2 linked regions of the Ovis aries genome follow. The protein of the gene in region 1 interacts with the protein of each later gene in a biochemical or structural test. Links are inferred from orthologs where the notes say so. Each region holds a gene or a part of one and is shown on either strand. Other genes may lie near its edges. The genes, in order: CACNA1A and CACNB4.

Region 1 (8,187 bases):
GAAGTTTCTAAAGATTCTTTTGATGTGGATCATTTTAAAAGTCTTTATTGAGTTTGTTACAATATTGCTTCTGTTTTATGGGGGTTTCTGTTTGGTTTTTGGCCTTTAAGGCACGTGGGATTTCAGCTCCCTGACCAGCTGGGGATTGAACCTGGCTGGTTTGAACCCCCTGCCCTGGAAGGCAAAGTTTTAACCACTGGACCACCAGGGAAGTCTCTAACCCTTTGAAAGAGAACAATTCAGAGCATTTAGTACATTCACAGTATTATGCCACTTTTCTATCTTATTTTAGAACATTTGCATCACCTCAAAATGCAACCCTATACTCACTAGCAGGCAGCCCCTGTCTCCCCATGCCCCTGCTCCTAGAAACTGCCAATCTACTCTCTGTCTCGTGGCTTTGCCTATTCTGGATGTTTCATATGAAGGGAATCATACACTATGTGACACTTTGTGTCTGGCTTCTTTCACTCAGCATTATGTTTTTGAGGTTCAGCCATGTTGTAGTATGTCTCAGCGCTTCCTTATTTTTGATGTGTGTGTTAATCACTCAGTTGTATCTGACTCTTTGAGATCCCATGGACTGTACCCCTCCAGGCTCCTCTGTCCATGGCATTCCCCAGGCAAGGATACTGGAGTGGGTTGCCATTCCCCTCTCTATCAGATCTTTCTGATCCAGGGATCGAACCCGATTCTCCCACATTTCAAGCAGATTCTTTATAGTCTGAGCCATCAGGGAACCATTATTTTTAATGACTGTATAATATTCCACTGTACAGAGGTGTTACTGAATCCAAGCTCCTACTGCTTGCTGCACAACAGGCCAATAAATCAAGAAACAAGTTGTCGGGGCAAGCAATATCGACTTTATTTGGAAAGCCAGCAAACTGAGGAGATGGCGGGCTAATATCCCAAAGAACCATCTTCCCTGAGTTAGAATTCAGGCTTCTTTGATACGGAAAGGGGAGGAGGTGTGGTTGGTTGCTGCAAACTTCCTGATGTCAAGAATCCTTTGTTGCAGCTGTCTGGGTAGGTCAGGTCACCATGTTCAAGTAAACCTCCAGCAAGACAAAAGTCATTCTCTGTTCTGCAACTTTGGGGGGTGGGGTGCAAACTGTGTTTAATGTAGTCTAGGGCTTATGAAAAGAGATTGGAAAACACGTGGAATTAGAAAAAACCATTTAAACAGCAAACATTGGTAAACACAATACATCTGTGGCTACAAGGGGGGAAATCCATGGACGTTTGGCCAGAGTACACTGTTTGGGGCAGGCACTCAACAGGGGGTCTTTCCAGCGGAGCATGAGAACCAATGGCTAGAAGCGTACCCAGTATTGACTCCAGTCAGGGCGAGCTGGTATGTGTATCCAAACCAAGCAAGTTCAGTCCCGAGGCACCCGAGCATGTATTCAGCAGAATGTGCCAGCTGCCCTCTGAAACAGCTGTCACATAATCATTTATAAAACAGGGGGCAAGAGCGAGAGGCCACGGGGCAAGAAAGCCTGACCACACCATCTTGGCTAATTTGCTCTCTCCCCACAAAAAGAGGAAATTGTAGGAAGGTAGGAGGAATCAGGAGAAGGCGATGGCACCCCACTCCAGTGCTCTTGCTTGGAAAATCCCATGGACGGGGGAGCCTGGTAGGCTGCAGTCCATGGGATCACAGAGAGTTGGACACAACTGAGTGACTTCACTTTCACTTTTCACTTTCATGCCTTGGAGAAGGCAATGGCAACCCACTCCAGTGTTCTTGCCTGGAGAATCCCAGGGACGGGGGAGCCTGGTGGGCTGCCGTCTATGGGGTCGCACAGAGTCGGACACGACTGAAGCGACTTAGCAGAGGCAGCAGCAGGAGGAATCAGCATTTTCAAGAAGCCAGATCTGCACATCCTGTGATTCCCATCAGCAATGTCAACCCACCTTGTTGCGACTGTTGTTTAGTCGCTAAGTCGTGTTCTACTCTTTGCAACCCTATGGACTGTAGCCCACCAGGCCCCTCTATGCATGGAACTTCCCAGGCAAGAATACTGGAGAAGGTTGCCATTTCCTTCTCCACATTCTGCAACTTTTTATCTCTATATGAATGGGAAAGTGTTATACCTTTAAAGGTCAGAGGCTTGAAAATGGGCTATCCAGTGTATTTCAGGCTATAGGCAACATTATTATAGCAAAAGCAATAGACTGTAAAGGTTAAAGTGAAAGATTCAATATGGAATCACGTTTCTTCTTCCCTATTACAGAGGATCTGAAATTTTGTTTATTCATTCATTACTCCTGGAAGTGACCTATCACCTTAAGCATAAATACTTCAACATGTATCCCTAATACATAAAGACTTTAAAAAACAACATAATCAAAATACTGGGCTTCCCAGGTGGTAACAGTGGTAAAGAATCCACCTGCCAATGCAGGAGACACAGGGATATGAAGTTTGATCCCTGGGTAGGGAAGATCCCCTGGAGTAGGAAGTGGCAACCCACTCCAGTATTCTTGCCTGGAAAATCCCATGGTCAGATGAGCCTGGCGGGCTACAGTCCATGGGGCAGCAAAGAGTCAGACAGGACTGAGCACAATCAAAATACTACTAAGAAACTTTATAAAAAGAACAGTAATTCTTTAATATCCCCTAACACCCAGCCCAGGTTTAATTGCTCCTGTATAAACAATGCTTCTTTCCCCAGTGAGGTAAATCCTCCCATTTTGACTCCACTTTATGAAACATGAGGCTTCTCTCTGCCCTAGATGCTTCTTATAAGACATACAGCTCATCTTTAAAAGGAGCCTCCTTTAAAAGGAGAAAGGGGGTCACCCCAGTTTTGGAAACCTATGTCTACGCACGCAGCAAACAAACCTGTGAAGCTTGCCATCAATTGCCTTTTTGCATCCAAAGACTCAAATTCTCTTCTTGCTGCCTTTATATTCAAATCATACAACTCCCTTTGCCTTAAGGGGGTGGGAGGGAGCTCAAAGAAATGCTGTTTCGCCAGAGAACAGAAGAGACTGGGGGTGGGGTGGGGTTAGCAGCTGTCCTCTAATTAGTGTTTCTGTAAGGGCATCAATAATTTAGGTAATCTGGCGGAGGGGAGATGGTTAAATTATAAGTGTGATTCCACATCCATGCTGATTCCCGCCTGCTACACACGCCCCTTCCGCAAACCCACTAAGTAGGAGAGACAGAGCCTTTCCTGGCTCCTTAAGAGAAGCTGCTCTGGAAGAAGGTAGAGGGGTGATACACAGCATCCTTCCAGAGAGTCCTGCCCCGTGCTGGGAGGTCGCGGTCCAGTGTTAAGGGGCAGAGAGCCGAGAGTAAGAATTCCCTTTTATTTTCCCCTGAGGAGCACTGTGGATGGGAGGCTGGATAGTCTCCCTGTCCTGGGTTCCCGAGCAGTAAGTACTTTGCTGGAGATGATCAGGGGCTGATGACACGTTAGTCCTCCCCTGTCTCCTCCCAACATTAGGGAAACCTCCCCCTCTTCCTTTTCCCTTTCCCCCACTGTTATCTGGCACAGAAGCCCCATTTGGCACCTGCCTTTGTGGGGAGCCCTCAGCTCTGAGCTTGGCTGCTCTTGGTGTCCCCTTTCTCTCTCTTTCCTCCGGGGCCCCCTTTTCCTTTCCATTGGGCAGGCAATGGATGCGTGGGCATCTGCTGGCTTGGACCCCTGGGCGCTGACAAGGTGGGGCCCTCAGGACAGCCGGAGGACTCGCTGCGCTGCCCACTAACCACACAGCCTGAGCGCCAGAGCCCATGCAACACAGGTGAGTGAGCGACAAAATCTGGGGGGGGGGCAGAGTTCTGCAGGGAGTCTAATCTTTATTTCCTTGCTGCAACCTTACCTGTATAGGTAAAGGTAAGAACCCAATGACCCCCTCCTTCCTCTGAATAGGTTTTCTTTGGGGGGTGGGAAGTTTATTTCTCTCCGCAGCTTCTCTTGCTGGGGGCAGACTCCCTGATTTCCAGCTTTTACTTCTTGCTGAAATATTCATTTTCTCTCAACTGCCCTTGGCCCTCCTGTAGTACTTGATATCTCTGCCACCTGCTCTGGGCCTGTGACATTTCCCCAATGATCACGGTTTCTAAGCTAAGCCTAATTCTACTTTTTTTTAAATGTCTCCCCCAACCCCGTCTCCTGTCCTCCGCCACGCCCCCGGCCATCACTCAAGTCTAAATTAGTCTGTTTTTGCTTTAAGATGCAGGCAGGCTGGACTAAGTGACGAGCTTGGAATCTTGCGCGCCTTCCCCTCCCCCATTGCCTATGACTTTGTTGGGGGGGGCGGGGTGGTGGTCCCAGAAACAAAAGTTCACGCCCCCCGTGTCGCCGGTCCTTGTTTGCTGTGCTCTAACCGGCATGAATACGTTTGGAAAAAGGGAGATGGCAGATGGCTGTTGAGGATAATTACGCCGTCTTAGGCAACCTCTTGTTCTGTTTAATATTTAATATTCTGCCCTCCCTTGCTCCAAATGAAAAGCAGAGACAGTGCTAGGCACCCCTCTAGACCAACCCCTCCCTTTAGGAAATGTTTGGACAGAACTGACTCTCCGGGTGGCTTTTATTTCTCAAGAAATGAGAGAAATCACTCTCCTCTCTGGCTCTCGCCCACTGACAGCTTCAGAGAACACGTGGCTGGTGGGGGCGGGAGGGGGAAGCGCCCCGCAGGCTGGGCTCCTCTGCCTTTTCCCGGGGCTCGGGCTTTGTGGGTTCCTGAGGGACTGAGCTGGAAGAAGGAATCAAAAGGAAATGTAAACGGGAGGATGATATAGCTTCCAGGAGGCAGTGGCCTCCGCCGTGGCTGAACAGACAAGAGGGGCGCTCTTCCCTGAGCCGCCTCCTTCCTTAGCTTCTAGGTGCCGGGGTAGGAGACTGGTAGGGATCTCCACTAGGTATTCCGGTTCCATCCTGAGTTTCCTGTTCAGAGCCGCCAACTTCAGGGCAGACCTGCCATTTCCCCTGCGGGCTCTTTCACGGACAGGCTTAGGTCTCTGGGGGATGGATGGGGGATGGATGGGGGATGGATGGGGGAGGGATGGGGGAGGGATGGGGGAGGGATGGGGGAGTTGCGGTGGGGAAGTTGGGAGAAAGGCAGTCTCCTGTGTCTGGCTGACTCTGGCCCCTCACCCCTGACTTGGTTTCTAGATCTTCCAAACCCAAGACCCGGGTTGCAGGAAAGCTCCCAACTCCAGAGGTCTTAGTAGCTGACTATCCCATTGATGTTTTCCTCTAAAACACTGGGATATGCAGGCACGCATAAAGGCGTTCCAGCCAATGCATGGTGCCTTACTCTGCTTTTCGTAGAAGGAAATGGAAACCCACTCCAGTATTCTTAACTGGAGAATTCCATGGACAGAGAAGCCTGGCGGGCTATACAGTCCATGGGGTTGCAAAGAGTCGGGAACGACGGAGTCGTTGAGCACATAAAGATGCTGCTTGAGGCAAATGCCGTCATTCCTCTAGATAAGACTGGGTAACTTCAGTGCTGCCCCTCTAGCTCCCCCAAAGTAAGTGGAAAGATCAGGACTAAGGTTCTGGAGGCAAAGGGCAGATTTTTTTTTCTAAAGGTGTTTTATTTTTGGGGGGTGAGGTGGGCAGCACTGACATGAGGAATCTTAGTTCTCCCAGCAGGGATCAAACCCATGCCCCCCGCAATGGAAGTGTAGAGTCTTAACCCCTGGACTGCCAGGGAAGTCCCCCAAGGGCAGATTTGACATTGAACAAATTACTGGGCAAATGACCGGCAAAGTAATGCCAAGTGCAGCTCTTGAACATCATAGCACCAGCAGAAGGTTTGACTTGTTTTCTTATTTTTTTTTTTTAATGCTACCTTACAGGACAAGAGGGCCCTTAGTGGCCAAGGGCAAGTGAGGGAAGATCTTATTCCAGGATCTTTCAAGCCAACTGTCTTCACAGTGACAGACAGGCTAGGGCTCTTGGCATGCTCTCGTAAGCCCCTCCCGGCAAGGCCAAGCCTGTCTGATGGCGGTCAGCGAGACTGACTTAACTGAGTGCGGGAGGGGAGGGGAGCTGGTCAGACTCCTCAGACCTTCATCTTCAAAATGCAGACCCTGGACTGGCAGCATACTCTGGGAATGCAGAGTCTCAGGCCCCATCCAGGCCTGTTGAGTTAGAATCTGCATTTCAGCTGGATTCCAGGGCAGAATCAGAGTCTGACTGGCTAGTCAGAGTCTTAGAAACTGGGGCTTAAGTCTGTGCATCAGTGTTCTAGTTGACAGGCCAATTGTGGCATCCCAATAGTAGAGGTCCTGGGGGACCAGGCCAGGTGATGCTCAGTGCTGGGCACATAGTAGGTGCTCACTAAATCTTGGCCACTTGTTTGTTGTTGATATTGTTGCAAGAATTGATTAATGAAGGTAATGTGGTTTTGTAAAGCTTCATTTATTATGGGCTTCCTAGGTGGTTCCGTGAGTCTGTCTGCCAACACAGGAGATATAGGAGATGCAATTTCGATCCCTGGGTCAGGAAGATCCCCTGGAGGAGGAAATGGCAACCCACTCCAGTGTTCTTGCCTGGGAAATCCCATGGACTGAAGAGCCTGGTGGGCTACAGGCCATGGAGTCACAAAGAGTTGGCCACTACTGAGTGACCGACTTGTTGTTCAGTTGCGAAGTTGTGTTCGATTCTTCACTACCCGTGGACTGCAGCACCCCAGGCTTCCCTGTCCCTCAGTATCTCCCAGAGTTTGCCCAAGTTCATGTCCATTGAATTGGTGATGCCATCCAACCATCTCACTGTCTGTCACCCTCTTCTCCTTCTGCCTTCAATCTTCCCAGCATCAGGGTCTTTTCCAGCGAGTCTGCTGTTCCCCTCAGTGGATAAAGTATTGCAGCTTCAGCATTAATCCTTCCAAAGAGAATTCAGGGTTGACTTCCTTTTGGATCGACTGGTTTGATCTTGCTTTTCAAGGGACTCTCAAGAGTCTTTTCTAGCACCACAGTTCAAAGGCATCAGTTCTTCAATGCTCTGCCTTCTTTATTGTCCAGCTCTCATATCCGTACAAGACTATGGAAAGACCATAGCCTTGACTATATGGACCTTTGTCAGCAGAGTGATGTCTTTGCTTTTGAACACATTGTCTAGGTTTGTCATAGCTTTCCTGCCAAGAAGCAGTCATCTTCTAATTTCATGGCTGTGTGCACCATCCACAGTGATTTTAGAACTCAAGAACAGGACATCTATCATTGCTTACACCTTTCCCCCTTCTATTTGCCATGAAGTGATGGGACTGGATGCCATGATCTTAGTTTAATATTGAATTTTAAGCTGGCTTTTTCACTCTCCTTCTTTACCCTTATCAAGAGGCTCTTTAGTTCCTCTTCACTTTCTGCCATTAGAGTGGTATCATCCGCATATCTGAGGTTGTTGACATTTCTCCTGGCAATCTTGATTCCAGCTTGTAACTCGTCCAACTTGGCATTTCCCATGATGTGCTCTGCATAGAAATTAAATAAACAGGGTGACAATAAACAGCCTTGGCGTACTCCTTTCTCAATCTCAATGAACCAGTCAGTTGTTCCGTACAGGATTCTAACGGTTGCTTCTTGGCCCGCATACAGGTTTCTAGGAGGACAGGTAATATGGTCTGGTATTCCCACCCCTTTAAGAATTTTCCACAGTTTGTTATGATCCACACAATCAAAGGCTTTAGTGTAGTCAATGAAACAGAAGTCGATGTTTTTCTAGAATTCCCCTGGTTTCTCTATGATCCAGCAAATGTTGGCAATTTAATCTCTGGTTCCTGGGTCTTTTCTAAACCCAGCTTGGACATATGGAAGTCCTCGGTGCACATAATGCTGAAGTTAGCATGCAGGATTTTGAGCATGACCTTTCTAGCATGGGAGATGAGTACAACTGTCCAGTGGTGTGAACACTCTTTGATACTGCCCTTGGGAACTGGGATGCGGACTGACCTCTTCCAGTCCTGTGGTCACTGCTGGGTTTTCCAGATTTGCAGACACATTGAGTGCAGCATTTTAATAGCATCATCTTTTAGGATTTTAAATAGCTCTGCTGGAATTCCGGCACCTCCAATAGCTTTATTGGCAGCAGTGCTTCCTAAGGCCCACTTGACTTCACACTCCAGAATGTCTGGCTGTACAAAAAAGATCTTAATGACCCAGATTACACAATGGTGTAGTCTCTCACTCAGAGCCAGAATGAACGGCTTAGCACAAAC
Region 2 (8,280 bases), on another chromosome or scaffold:
CTGGTAGGATCCAGGTCTTACATGCCTCTGCAGTTCTCATAAGGGCAGTCTTAAGGAGAAGTCAACAAGCCACTCTGATCAGATTTTCCTTTGAACCTCAGAGGAGGAAAACACTGGGAGTAACCCCAGTGAGGGTAACCTGGAGCACTCTGCCACACAACCTGTATGTGCTGTGATACCCATGGTATCTCATATACTCACACACATGGGCATTCTGCAGACACCCTAATTCCTTGCTCCATCTCACCATATTAATTGTATGCATCTATGTCTCTGTAACTATATCAGAAAATCCTTTAGGTACAGGGGCTGTGTCTCATTCATCTTTTCATTCCTATCCCACAGTATCTAGTGCAGGGAAAGGTACATATCGAATGTTTAGTGAGTGCTTCCTAAAAATTTAAAGCATGAATAAATAATCCATTCATAAATGGCCTGTCAAAAGTGATCTCCTGAGAGAAAATTCTACAGCCTTTCTTGGAAAGCCATCTCAAGGATATCAACATTCTTTGGAAAGTCTTGCTATAAAGTATCCTTCCTTTCTAATTGTAGCCAATTGTTGAGTTCAGCCTCCATGAAGACAGAACAGCCCACCACATGTCCAAAGGACAGTCTTCCTGTACCCTTTGAGGATCACTACCGGGTCACCCCTAGTTCTTTCTTTTTTCAGTGAGGAAATACTTAACCTTCTCACCTTTCCTCAAAGAAATCATTTAGTTGCTCCCTGGATTCATCCCAAAACCTCCATCGCTCCTAAACTGTGGAGGGCAACAATCTAGCAGATCAGCAAACAAGGTCAGAGATGCCTGAAGGGTTTTGTGAGCAGTCCTCAGGGGGAGAAACAGGCTGTCTTAGTCTGTTCATTTTCAGGCCAGGTCACATGTGTGCATGTGTTTGTGTGTGCACATACATACATCTGTGCACATATACACATGAACACTGAGATTTTTTTACCAGCTCAAACAATAAACACTGTTCTATTTGATGAGTTTGCCAACTGTCCTCTATTCTTCACCACCAGCCCGGATGTTCCTCTCTGATTCAATACATTTTTTAAAAAAATAAGTGAAACCTTTACCCCCATATCTTTGCAGATTATATGGCAGAGAAATGAGCAGCACTGTTTTTACTGATATCTTCACTATCTTCTTGTGCAAAGGCATCACACAGATTGTGAAATACATCAAGAATTCAAAAACAGTAAATCACTGGTCATTCTACAAATAATAAGTCTCTAGTAACATTAAACAGCTGCTGGTCTTTTTTTAAACAATTTTTTTTTTTTTTTTTGGCATTTGGGTGAAAACTGTTAAATTTAATTTCAAAATACAGTGTTAAAGTTCCATTTGGAATCATTTTTCATCTCTTGTCAAATAAATTAAAATTCCTCAGTTGTTTTATCATTGTCATTACAGAAGTCTATATTATGACATTTAAAGAAGATCAGATATAGGATGCTCACTGAGCTGTAAGTCCTCATAACAATTATGTATTATTTCTGTGCAGAAAAGTTAGTAAGACTGTGTATATGTTAATAATATCATTACAACAAAATGTCCAAATTTAAATTAGATCATCTTAGTAAACCAACATATCCTAGCCTAGTTTCAGAAAGACTTATGAAATATATTTGTTCCCCAAATCTGTGACAGTTTAAATTACTCCCAAAATTATTCAGCATGAATACTTTTTACATTTTTAAGCCGACACACACCAGCACATTTAACAAGAACTTATACACGCCTTATCTCACTTATTATTTAACTTGAGGAAAGAATAAGATTAATATATTACAAAGAATATTGATTGTGCTTGGATGAATAAAACATTACTGAAGTGATGGTATAGATAAATTCAAAAGTGTCAGTCAAATGCCTCATGGAATATACTGGTGTATAATTAGTATTTCTAAGAATCTATAGTAATAAAACACTACCAAAAATAGGCATCTACAAAATAAACATAAACAAGATCTCAGTCACATAAGTCAATTTTTGTAAAAGAAGAATGTTTGCTTTATTAAATATGTAAATAATCTAAACACTGCAAAAAGGATAGAATACATTTTTTGAATTCAGAATCCAAAATATACTTATTTTAATAATGCACACACTTAGTACTCACTGAATGAAAGAGTAGTTGCAGTAATTTCTGTCCCTGAAGAAAATGAATGCCTGTGTAATAAATACTATGTAAATACGCTTTATGGACTTTTTAGGAGAGGTCTGAGTCCAATTTTGAGTCTAATGCCCATTCCTCAGGGGTAATCTGTTTAAATTGAGGATAATCACTAAAGAAACATAATGCAGCTGCCATCATAGGTTAAAAACACAGTACACGATGATCTGAGTTACCTAGAGGGAAAAGAACTTCCCAAGGTCATTCCAGCAGCCCACAGCGGAGCCTTGGTGCAGTGACCACGGTCCTCCCAGGGTACCCTGAACTCACACACCTCGATAGCTTCTCTTCCAAAGAGAAATCAAGGTGATTCCTTTTCGCATGATCTCTCTAGCACCCAGTAGCTATGAAGGAGTGGTTTCTCTGTAGCCCATAGACAGTACGAAATTAAGAACCAACTTCCTGTGTCAAGCTAAAAGGCACTTCAGCATTCGGTGGAACCAGTGATCTTTATCACACTCAACGCGCACTAGAACCACGCAGAAGAGAACAATCACTAAGAAAACAAACATTAAGTGTGGCAGCACCCAGACCCCAGAAACTGAGTGTAGGTCTTCGCTTACTTAGATTTAAACAGATCCGGCAGTCTTTCCCTAACCGAGCGAACCAAAGAATAGGTCCCAAAGCGAGACCAAACTTTCTGCTCAAAGTGTCTTTCCTTTGGACCAGAGCTAGGAGATGACAAAGGAGAGTATTCAAAATAGGGCAAAACAGAAGAGCTTCTAACAGCCGAATCTAAGCAGTTGTCCGGCGCCCGGGGCTCTGGTCAAGTCAAGTCACACGCCTTAAGAAGGTTTCCTCGCGCGACGAAGGTGCAAAAAGAAATACTTCCACTCTTAAATTCAACTAGGTCCCAGCTGGCTCGCGTCCACACGTACCAACTTCCCGGGACCCTAAGACTTGGGAGCCGGGACGGAAGGAGAAGGACCAGCCGCAGGGCACGCCGAGGGAGGGAAGGGGCGCGCGGGGACCCCGCCCGCCGCGCCCGCACGAGGGGGCTGCGCTCAGCTCCGGAACACCACCCCCACCGCCCCCCGCGCCCGCCTCCTACCTGTCTGAGGATGAAGCTGGTCGAAGTGGTGCTGCCATCGGATCTTTTCAACCTGCTCCTCCGGGTCGTGGTGCCTCGGGCCACCTGCACTCGACACACGGGGTCGGAGAGAAGCGCATGAGGGCGCGGCAGTGGGGAGCCGGGCGACCACCCCAGGCTAGAGTCCGCCTCGGGACCTGCTCCCCGGGGGCTCCCCAGAGCCCGCACCCACGTCTCCTCCACGGTCCCCACATACAGCCTCCATCCCACCCACCCACTTAAGCCTCGACGACTGAAAAGATGCCCGGGAAGAGCCGCCCGCGAGCACCCACCACATCCATTAACAAAGACTCTCAGGGTGCGGGGTCCGAGTCCCCGGCGGCATGGGCTGGGGAAGGCTGCGGACTCCGGAGCGGGAGCGCAGAGACCTGACGAGGTGAGAAGGAGCAGGAGCAGGAGGAGGAGAAAGAAGAGGGCGGGAGGAGACAGGGACGGCGCGCAGGGGTGGGGGAGCGGGGCCGCTGACTCCCAGGACCCGGGCCCCGCTCGCCCGGCGCGAAGGCGGGGCGAGGAAGGGGAGGAGGGGGCGGTACCTGCGAGGTTGGGGAGCGCGGCCGGTCGGCGCTCCCGTTCTTGGCGTAGGAGGAGGACATGGTTCACAGCCGCATGGCCCGCCCGTGCTCGGCGGGCGGAGGACGGCTGGGCCCCCCGGACGCTTGCAAGCTGGAGGCGGGGGAGGGCGGCAGGACTTCCCCACCCGCTTCGGGACCCGCGCCGGCTCCTGCGAGCGCGGAGACACCTTAAAGGGTTCGAGGCGCTCACCCTCGCGCCAGCAGCGGACCTCCAGGCAGCGGCCCCCGCCGGCGGAGGTCCCGCGGAGGGGGGCTTCTCGGGATCTCGCCGACCCGAGGCGATGGAGAAGCGCTCTCCCACCTAGCGAGCGCCTTACATCAGAGCTTTCCAGTGGAGGAAGGGAGAGGGGGAACCTAGGAGGGGGGTGGGAGGATGAAAATAGTCTGCACAGTTTAAAATGAGACAAAGGTGGCACGGTTCATGAATCAGGACTCGGGGAAGGACACTGGTGCAGAGTGGCAGGGAGTGGGAAAAGCCAATTCGGCGTGTATGCGTGTGTGTGTGTGTGCGCGCACGCGGGTGTGTGTTTGCTGCACTGGAATTTTAAAAGGGCAAGAGCAGAACCTTTCTTCCGCGACTTCACCCATCAGCCCATTGTGGTAAGGCATGGGGTTCTGTGGTTTGGCTTTTTGTCCGAGTCTTTGTATTGTTCTGTGAACTCTAGCTTCAAAACCGCAAGCCATGCACACCCGGCAGCCCCGGGAGATTCTGCCAACCTGAGTCTGACCGGGGTGCAGCCCGCAGCAAACCGGCGTGTCCTAAGGAGTTTTGAAGGTCACATAGACGTGCTGAAAGGCAAGAGTTGGCCACGTGCCTTCCCTTTCTAGGCGGATATCTGTCTTCAAGGGAGAGAACTCATCTTTGAAATCATACATCTTTGGCGTTGTTGCAACCCTAAATTTCCTCCTGCAAAAACATACTAGAGATTAACTGGAGAACAAATAAAAGCGAATTGTGGGGAGGAGGACTTGAAGTAACAAGCAGGAAGAGAAACATGCGAATTCAAAAATAAAGAGACCCTGTTTAATTGTAAATAGTTACTGCAAGAGAAATCCATGAATAAAATTTGCATGGTATCTTAAATTACTACATCAGCCCCTATCACCTTGGGTTCTAGTATTTTTTGAGGGAAACTGCCTGTCTCTTTTAACAATTAGTTGGCCTTATTGAGGTCCTGATAGTTTTACCATACACCAGACACTTTCTTTCCATTCCCACCCCCTTCACTTAATCCAGACCTTCAGTTCTTTGTAAGAGTATAATAATTAGTCTCCTTGCCTCCAGCCTTCCTCTAAGCATACACCTGCACACACACATACCCACACACTTCATTCTATCTAAACACTACAGGCAAAACCATTTTCCTAAAATCTCTTTACTCAACTCACTCTTTTCTAAAAAGCACTGCTGACTTCAAAAAAAATGTACAATGTGAGTTACATGCCGTTTTATTTGGGGCAAAATGAGGACTGCAGCCTGGGAAATGGTGCCTCAAGTAGCTCTGAGAGACTGCTCCAAAGAGGCAGGGGTGAAGGTCAGTATACGCCTGATTCTGGCAAAGGAGGAAATACATATAATCAAGCACATGCACAGGTTTCTGCTATCTCATGAAGCTTTTTGCCAGTGATGAGAAACAATCATCACCATGAAGGATTTTAGTGCTTTTCTAGATATGAGGAGGCATAACAATTGGACCTATAAAATGAGATCCTCAAAATACCTATCTGAAGATCTGTCCTGCCAGTTCCCCCACCCCATCCAGAGCACAGAGTGCCTCATTTCTGGGCTCCACCTGAACTCCTTTCAGAGGCTGCTGAAGGTCAGCAGCACATGCTTTAACCCTTATAGAGGTAGATGGCAAGTGTCAGTTTGTAGTTGATGGCGCTCATTGCTCTCAGCAGCCCACAAGACAGAGTCCAAACTCCTTGGCCCAACAACCAATCTCCTGCTTTGGTCACTACCACTTTTCTCCAACTTGATCACTGAACAGCAAGCAGAAAGGTCTGCTCATTGCTCAAACACACCAAATACAATCCCTCTTCAGCACCTCTGCCTGAAATGTGTCCTGCCCCCAGTCCCACCCGCCTGCATCCTACCCTGCTTCCAAGCCTGGTTCAACACACTCTCCTTCCACAGAAATCTTCCCTGACCATGCCCTGAAAAACTGGAGCATTTATTCTCTGGGCACTTAGTGCAGGCTGCCTTGGTTTACGTGTTCTCTTTTTGTGAAAATCTAATTCCTAAAATAGATTTTTAGCTTTTTATCTTCCATTCTTATATCTCACATGTTATATTAATAGATATTCCATAAAGTATATGGATAATGGTATGTCTGCCAATGCAGAACCCCTTGCTTTAGTTACCGTCAACTCAATCCATTTTAAGTTCTCAGCCATTTTCATAGTTGATACTTAATCAATACTTACAGAGTGAATTATTATGTGGGCACTGGGATTTGAGTTTTCTGGCTTTCTACTGCCTACAGTCTTATGACACTGAGTTATCAAAAAAGAATCTACAGTGGCATGACATTGAAGAGTTCTCTTTACCTACCTCACAGCAAAACTGGTGAAAATAGTTTCTAAAAAATTCTTTAATCTGTGGAAATGGTCCAGAGAAGGGTATGCAGCCACTGAAAAAACATTCATTCAGGAAAATTTACTAAAACTCAGTAAGAAAAGTGAGCTTGTGGTATTTGAACCAAGACTTGTTCTCCCCACCCTCACCCCCCACCACCTTCATCTGATTGAGCAAGAGGGAAACTGGCTACCTGATGCTGCTGGGAATACAGGGCTCCCTCTCCCTTCAGCTCCCAGCTGGAGGGTTATTTTCCTGGGAGGGACAGGCCATTTATCATCCTGCAGCGGCCACCTGTTGCTGAGGCTAAGTTCCCCTCAAATACAGCAGAGGTGGGGGCTCCTTTCTTTAGCCCAGCCCCCACTTGTGGGATGGGGGCTCTGCCTGGGACACAGTGCCACAGAGAATACTGAGGACCCAACTGCTCCTGGAGAGACAAGCCAGGAGACCCAGGCTTGCTGCCCCTCACTACCAAGCGCTCAGCTCCTAAAGTGAAAATGTCACACAGAGAATGCCATTGTCCTTGCCCCCAGGACTGGAACTCAGAGAATGAAGTTGGGCCCCACTTTGCACCACATACAAAAATTAACTCAAAATGGACCAAAGATCTAAATGAAGAGGTCTTACACAAAAGTGTAAAACTATTAGAAGGAAACATAGGGGTAAATCTTCACGATCTTGGATTTGGCAATGGATTTTTAGATATGTCACCAGGAGCACAAGCAACAAAAGAAAGAAAGTAAATTTGAACTTCAAAATTGAAAATGTCTGAACTTTTTAAATTTTGTGGCACTGTCAAGAAAGTGAAAAGGGCACTATCAAGAAAGTGAAAAGACAACAGAATGCCGGAAAATATTTGCAAATCATATATCTGATAAGGGACTTGTATCATATACGTGTGTGTGTATAAATATATATATATTTATTTGTGTATTTTTATATATATATATATATATAAAACTCTTATAGCTCAGTAATAAAGAGACAGATGACCTTATTTTAACATAGGAAAAGAATCTGAATAGACCTTTCTCCAAAGAAGATATACACATGGCCAATAAGCTGATGAAAAAATGATATTTTTAGTCATCAGGAGAATGCAAATTGAAACCATGATATACCACTATACTATCCACTAGATAAACCTCAGATAATAATTATTGGCAAAGATATAGAGAAACTGGAAATCAGAAATTCCCACTGCTAGTGGGAATGTAAAATGGTGCAGTTCCCTTGAAAACCAGTCTGGCATCTACTCAAGTGTTTAAACATAAAGTTACAAAATGAGCCAGCAATTCCACTCCTGAGTATATACCCAAGATAAACAAAAGCATATATTTATGCAAAAACTTGTACAAGAAAGCTCAAAGAAGCATTATTCATAATAGCCAAAAAAGCGGAAATACCCCAAGTGTCCACCAGCTGATGAATAATGGAATATTATTCCGTAATAAGAAGGAACGAAGTATTGATACATGCTACAGTGTGAATGAGCCTTGAAAATATTAAGCTAAGTGAAAGAAATAAGTCACAGAAGGTCATATATTATATTATTCTATTTACATGAAATGTCCCAAATAAATAAATCTATAGAGACTAAAAACAGATTAGTGGTTGCTTAGGGCAGGGGAGGTTAGGGGGATATTGAAGTGATAAGTCTACAGGGCTTCCTTTTGAGGCAAAGAAAATGTTAATAAAAATACTGAAAAGCACTGAATTGTACACTTTTTCATGTTTCACCTATTTATTTTTGCACTGGGTCTTCGTTGCTGCACTCAGGTTTCTCTAGTTGTGGTGAGTGAAGAAGGCTACTCTCTGGCTGTGGCACGTGGGCTTCTCAATGCAGTAGCTTCTCCTGTTGT

What was found.
Region 2: the proteins of CACNA1A (region 1) and CACNB4 form a complex in vitro, tested with the Homo sapiens proteins (2 studies listed by BioGRID). The link is inferred for Ovis aries from reciprocal best matches to the Homo sapiens genes CACNA1A and CACNB4.

Annotation. Positions count from the first base shown.
Region 1 is NC_056058.1:10,324,915-10,333,101, forward strand, and holds the start of CACNA1A (voltage-dependent P/Q-type calcium channel subunit alpha-1A), read left to right. Parts: upstream 1-3,126; 5' UTR 3,127-3,756; intron 3,757-8,187.
Region 2 is NC_056055.1:157,488,188-157,496,467, reverse strand, and holds the start of CACNB4 (voltage-dependent L-type calcium channel subunit beta-4), read right to left. Parts: upstream 4,161-8,280; 5' UTR 3,862-4,160; coding exon 3,802-3,861; intron 3,642-3,801; exon of another isoform or gene 3,550-3,641; coding exon of another isoform or gene 3,541-3,549; intron 3,314-3,540; coding exon 3,230-3,313; intron 1-3,229. UniProt on the Homo sapiens protein: The beta subunit of voltage-dependent calcium channels contributes to the function of the calcium channel by increasing peak calcium current, shifting the voltage dependencies of activation and inactivation, modulating G protein inhibition and controlling the alpha-1 subunit membrane targeting.